Linked DNA regions of Drosophila melanogaster. Each later gene encodes a partner of the first gene's protein in a complex. Each region holds a gene or a part of one and is shown in the gene's direction. Other genes may lie near its edges.

The links. Proteins that work in one complex are often made in the same cells at the same time.
Region 2: msd1 (region 1) and dgt2 share a complex: the UniProt entries of both Drosophila melanogaster proteins name them as parts of the augmin complex.

Annotation. Positions count from the first base shown.
Region 1 is NT_037436.4:1,329,934-1,332,877, forward strand, and holds msd1 (mitotic spindle density 1), read left to right. Parts: upstream 1-1,810; 5' UTR 1,811-1,848; coding exon 1,849-1,885; intron 1,886-1,940; coding exon 1,941-2,320; 3' UTR 2,321-2,393; downstream 2,394-2,944. Other genes in the region: ND-ACP (NADH dehydrogenase (ubiquinone) acyl carrier protein), read left to right, coding at 208-357, 930-1,016, 1,109-1,237, 1,347-1,526; msd5 (mitotic spindle density 5), read right to left, coding at 2,419-2,944. UniProt on the Drosophila melanogaster protein: As part of the augmin complex, plays a role in centrosome-independent generation of spindle microtubules.
Region 2 is NT_033779.5:11,987,906-11,991,605, forward strand, and holds dgt2 (dim gamma-tubulin 2), read left to right. Parts: upstream 1-2,030; 5' UTR 2,031-2,118; coding exon 2,119-2,350; intron 2,351-2,407; coding exon 2,408-2,871; 3' UTR 2,872-3,067; downstream 3,068-3,700. Other genes in the region: CG6686 (uncharacterized protein), read right to left, coding at 1-40; CG34163 (uncharacterized protein), read left to right, coding at 413-424, 479-730; zuc (zucchini), read right to left, coding at 1,158-1,919; escl, read left to right, coding at 3,068-3,366, 3,425-3,614, 3,670-3,700. UniProt on the Drosophila melanogaster protein: As part of the augmin complex, plays a role in centrosome-independent generation of spindle microtubules.

The DNA of each region.
Region 1 (2,944 bases):
AGTATTTATTTGCGTAAGTTGAGAAACAGCTTAGTACATTGCGCATACGGTCACACTGCTACCTTGCTGTCTTTTTCTTGCTCCAGCACTTTTACATAATCTTGAAAACTCAGCGTAAATATCGCCCAAAATACGAGACCTGCACTCGTGCACCGTCTGCAGAGATGCGATACTAACCCGCTGCGTTTCCGTTGCAGGAGAACCGAGATGTCGTTCACACAGATCGCGCGCAGCTGCAGTCGACTGGCGGCCACTTTGGCCCCAAGGAGGGTCGCCTCCGGCATTCTCATCCAATCACAGGCCTCCAGGATGATGCACAGGATCGCCGTGCCATCGATGACCAGCCAGTTGAGCCAAGTAAGCGAACGTCCAAAGCGGTCCCTTCCGTTGCAGGAGCCCCAATCGCAGTTGAGGACCTAACCTCATCGCAAACGGCGGGGTTTCGTGATCTACGAGTTTCAAAACATTCAATTAAGTGCTTGCAATCATGAACGCAACAGAAGATCCTCGCCATGTGGCCGTCGAACCACCCAATTCGATTGCATCACATTATTTTGCATAAAACATGATTGTTTCCCTATCGCACACACACACACATACACCTGCAACACCGGTGCTCGCACTTGTGTGCGGTTGATTGTACTACAGTGAAAATCCTCTAGAAGTGACCTTAAAATGTAGCGGTTTTAAAACATGTGATTTCAGTTTGTTAAATATCTAAATATGTTTCCACGCCAATCCAAGCAATAGTTTTCGCGGTATTTAATCAGTTGATCATACACCATCGAACCACCCTCGTTTAAATTGCGTATATATTTACACTGCTCATTGAAGAATTAGCTAAGTTGTATGCACCATAAGTCGTAGATGAACTACCAATGCAATTATTCATATAGAGACGAAAATTCACTAGACATTAACATTCGCAGAAGTTCGGTGTGCGCAGCTACTCGGCCAAGAGCACCATCGAGGACATCAAGTTCCGCGTGCTAAAGGTTGTCTCCGCCTACGACAAAGTGACCGCCGAAAAGGTAAAGTACCCATTGCATGGCGCCACTAATCCGGTCTTTGTTTCCTTCCTTTTTTTCTCGGGCCGGCCAAAAACCAGGAGTGCCGTGGTCGCTGGCAAACGCAATTGGTGCGCAGATACTCGGCGAAACCGCCGCTCTCGCTGAAGCTGATCAATGAGCGCGTCTTGCTTGTGCTCAAGCTCTACGACAAGATCGATCCCAGCAAGGTAAACGCCACATATTGCCTTTGCCAGTGCAATGGTCGCCTCAGAAATCAGAACTGAACAAAGCTGATGAAACCTTTGAATACCCAATGCTAATGGCTCGCATTTACAGCTCAACGTTGAGTCGCACTTCATCAACGACTTGGGACTGGATTCCTTGGACCACGTGGAGGTCATCATGGCCATGGAGGACGAGTTCGGTTTCGAGATCCCCGACTCTGATGCCGAGAAGCTGCTTAAACCTGCCGACATTATTAAGTACGTCGCCGACAAGGAGGATGTGTACGAGTAAATTGTAATTGTAATGCAAGCCATTGAACGGATTACACTTAAATTTAAATAGAAAACAAGTCAAATACAATTTGATCAACTGAATAAACCAAACGTTAAATTAACTTGTAGTCAGCAATTGTACACGAGGGCTATAATTAACTGCGGAATAGCAGCTAATAAATTAACTATCCAAATAAATAAACGAGTCATTTAGTACTGGCGGTTAAATTTAAATTTCGATAGAAACGTTGGTCTTTCGATTGTTTTAGAAAGCCTTGTGTATTTTAGATACGCAGCGACGGTCACGTTAATCTGCTAGCATTACAAACAGAATATTCGAAATGTCAGACGCTGTGGACAAAATGTTGGCGGGAATGGGTAAATATATCTTTAAACCACCGACACGCGTTCTATTCCGTGCTTCCAATTTCAGCGGCCAATCGGCAGACCATGAACCGCCAGCTGGCTAAGATAGACGAGATAATGGAGCGGTCGAACAACACATTGCTCCACATCGAGTCCAACAGCAAGGCATTCAGTCAGAATGTGGCTTTGTCGGAGACCCAGAAGATGTACAACCTCAGGCCGGAGGCTGAGATGACCCTGTCCAAGATCCTGGAGAACTTCAAGCTGCTCATGTCTAGCAGTGACCAGCGGGAGGAGACATACAGCGCTCTGGAGGGCTGCCTGGCCTACAGGCATCGCGTGGAGCACCTTGGCAGCTCCGTGCGTAAGCTGGTGGCGCTCTACGACACCGTGGGCCAGATGAAGAACTCACAGGAAGAGCAGTATGCCAGCGAGGATTCCCCCTAGCTCATCCATTTTTAGAATTTATTATTATGTTATAGTTGAAAAATAATTTAAATAAATTAAACATTTGATTTGTATTTAAAGCTCTTTAAGCGAGGTTTTCAAATCATGGCCATATTGTAGCTGCTGACTTGGAGAAGCGTATAGGTAAGCACCTCTACGAACATCTCCAGGCGAGCGGCAAGACTCCCGGTGGCGAGTATCTCATTGGGATTGGGCAGCTGGAGGCTGTTGGAGCGCAGGTAGTTGAGCTGTTCCATATTGGCGGCTATGGTCAGAAGCTTCTCCTGCTGCTCGGATGTAAAAGCATCTGGCGGAGACTCACCGCCGGTTGGCATGAGCTTTTCCAGCTGCTGCGCAAATCCATGGAGCTGCGTCAGCTTCTGCTTGTATATGGATTCTGTGGTGTCCAGAGCGGCTGCCTCGTCGTAGATCTTGGCCAGCTTTCGCTGGAAACCCTTAAAATCATTGTACACGTCCACGGCACTGCGCTGCTCCTCCAGACGCGTCAGACTCAGCGAAACGTTGGATGTGTTGATGCCCATGGCCACCGACTCGTCTGCTCCTCGCAGGAGCGTTGAGTTGGTACGTTGTAGCTCCCGCTTCTTGGGCATTTTCTGCAGGTTG
Region 2 (3,700 bases), on another chromosome or scaffold:
TGTCCTTCTTGTGTTTCTTTCCCGACGACGAGGAACCCATATTTATTATTATTTTCACAACAAAATACAGAAAATTTCACAAGAAAAAGACGCCGGTGTGACCGCAGTTCGGGAAGCGGAAATATACCAGGTGTGCCACGGTAAAATTAAATGCCAATCACAGTGATGCGCGCACAAAGCCACCGAAATTGTTTAAGATATTAAAACTGAATGTAATTATTAAATTATCACGCAATGTAGTACTTCGGAACTTTTTATTTGTTAAAAGGACCTTTTTATTTAGAATTCGTTTTGTTAAAATTACCTTTTTGAATGACTAAACTTACACCGCCTACTCTTCTTCTTATTTTTTGTTTTGCCATTCACCACGAACTTAATAACAACTTAACACGCGGAGATCTCCACATAAACAATGGAAATTAAAGTACGTAAACAAATTATTTGCGACCTAAAACTTATTTCATTTTGATCCCCGTAGAAGTCCAAGAAATCAAAGAACGACAAGAAGTCCAAGGCGCCCAAGGAGTCGTCCGTTTCGCTCAAACTGAACGCTTTGCATCGCAAGCAAAAGGAAGTCGCCCGCGTGCTCACTTTAAAACAAGAAATATTACTGAAATCGGGTGTATCCTATCTGGAATATTATGAGATTCTGGCAGAAATCGAACGACTCAACGGCCTAAAGGAGTCATTTATGCGCCGCGCTGATAAGCTGAAGCAACAGGACAAATAGTTGATAAGTTGGTTTGGTTTAGAAACTATATAAGAGTAAAGAAATCTGTAGCAGTTATATTTCGGAATGTTTTGTACATACATACATGTAATCTTTTTTGTAATTAACTTTTATTTACTTAAAAGCTTTCAATAACATGATGAATAAAGTAGAAAGTTATATATATAGTCAAAGCTGATCATAACTAAATGCACGTTGAAAATTAGTCAACTCAATCGAAGTGATAAAGATTTCATACGGATTATACTGTTAGGTATACATTTTGATTACTTTTGTTTTGCTTAATTAATTTGGCACTCCTTTGTGTGTGAAGATCAAGCTGCCTTAAAAAGTTTTAGTTTAATTGAAGGCACTTAGAAAATAAGAACTATAATTATTTGGCATACTGAGGAACTGTTTGGTAGTCATACATTAAATCAATTGATTTCTACTTGAGCTGGATTTGGCTCCCCTCGGTCTTCGCAAAAGCCCGCCACATTCGTTGGAATTCCGCCTGAAACGTGGCTGTGAGTTTGTCGTCAGCTGTGATAATGCAGTTCTCCCAATTGCCTCCCAGTCCAAGAGCCGTCCAGTTTACGGAGCCGCTGATCACGATGCTATAGCACGGACGCATAAACTTGAGCTTCCTCAGCAGACGAATCTCCTCGACGCGCTCGAAGCCGTCGATTATGCAGAATTTGTTGTGCATCAAGTTCGTGGTAATGGGGACGCGAACTGGAACTCCCAATTGTGCCAGCATACTGATCTGAGAACCTTTGGAGTAGACCATCTCCCCGTCGCTGATGATCCGGATAATCACGCCGCGCTGCAGGGCCCGCTTTATTGAATCCGCCAAAAAAAGCGAGGTGAAGGTGTATATGGCCAGGTCAATGGAGTATACAGCCCGATCGATCTGCTCTACGATCTTGGCCACATTCCGCAGCGAACAATGCGTGTTGCAGCAGGGCGACACTTGTGGTTTCTGGGATCCCATGCTGCTGTTGCGCATATGCACCGCCGCACAGATCTCGCCCAGTTCATTGAAGATGATCACTTCGTGCACGCGGCTTGCCTTCTCTCGCTTGCTGCGCGAGCACTGCACCAGCTTCCAAATCACCTCTGAGGCCAGGACAGTGCTGACGGCAATGCTTATTGTGGACACAATGGGATAGTCTCGAATTTGTTTCATAATTATTTGGGTAATCAACATTTTTGAATTTAGCTCGTTTCTCTAGCGCGCTTTAAATAATAATCTTGGGGTGACCATTATAAAATATAAGTAAAATATATTATCGTTAGTAGCTACCGGTCACACTGTTGCTCAGTAGCGTTGCCGTATCGCAGCCATGCGCTTGCCCATTCGAATCAAACAATCAATTTCGGGTCAATTTAAGCATTTTACCACCTAAATGGATGATCCATCCGCCACGCTCTTGCCCGAACACTCGGAAGATTTGCGGCTGGCTCGCGATGCGGAGCTGAAGAAGGTGCTCAAGCTGAAGCTAGTGCTGGACGAGCTAAGACGCCTGGATGTGGGCCCAAATCCGAGTGATGAAATCAAAAGAGCCCTCAAATTGGTTTCCATTGGAAGTTATGCGCGACTCGGCGAGATGGAGGGAGCTGGTCAGGAGCAGGTGCTTGGTAGGCGCGTTACAAGTTTATTCCAAAAGCAGTGAATAACCATTGGAAATCTAACAGGTCTACCGAGCGGCAGCAGTTTTCCGCCCTTGAATTACACGGATCGCAAGACGGTGCGTACCAAATTGTCCGCTCAATTACGCACAACTCTGCAACCCATTGCCGAATTGTGCGACAGGATACGCGAGGAGTTCCCGGACGCCTTTGGCCAGGAGGCGGACTTAAGCTGCGACCAAAAGGAGATTCTGCGCCTGGAGGAGGAGCATCGCAGCGGTCTGGAGAAATTGGTTGCGCTTCTCACTCGTAAGTGCACGCTTCTCAAGGAGACCGCCGAATTGAAATTGGGGCCGCAGTTGGCAAACGAACTAAAATTGCAACAGGCGCAGGCGCAACTTGTTCAAACAAAAGCAGAACTACTGCGCGGATTTTTCGTCCACGAGGCCGCCTCTCGCACCGAACATAGCGTCAAGGCACATAAGGAGGTGGAGGCGCACCTGGACGAGCTGCTCGCCGCCAAGAAGTAGATTTAAGCAAACTAGTATTATGTAAATTAGATTTTTAAATACATTATAATTGTGATTTAAACAGGGTTGTTCGTTTAGGTCTTTTCGCTCTAGAATGGCAACACTGTTTTGCACTGCAGTATTTGCAGACGGTCACTCTAGGGATAAACAATTTGTAAACAAAAGAAGCTTTTAAGTTTGCCGGAATAAAACAGATATGACCGAAACGAATCCCAGTGAAATATCTCCTCCGAGCGAAGAGCCACCGGCAGAGGACGAATCCACTGACCACTCTCCAGCGGAGGCAGTGCTGAGCAATAATTCCTCGAGTGTCTGCAATGTTGTGGAGCCGGATGATGAGCACGAAGTTAATTCCGTGGATCGGGAGGACACCGCCAGTTTGTTCAGCACTACTACGACCACCACCAGAAGCAAATCGCCAAATACACGAAAATTGAACCGCCTGTGTCGGCGGATCAAGGCACCCAAAATGGTTCAGCCCTTGTACAAATATAGGTGTGATTTTTCCAGGCAGAACATAAGTCATAATGTTTATATCCCGGATGCATTGCAGCTCCCATGTCCGCGAGGACCACAACCATCAGATCTTCGGAGTGCAGTTCAATCCGTTCCTGGACAGAGGCCAGCCGCAGGTGTTCGCCACCGTTGGCAAGGATCGGGTTTCCATTTATGAGTGCGAGAGGAGCACCGGACAGGAGTCCTGCGAAGGCATTCGACTGCTGCAAGTCTACGCAGACCCAGATGTAAGTACTCATCATATGCTATTACTTACATACATCATCGTTACGCCCTCGTTAGACCGATGAAAGTTTCTACACATGCGCTTGGT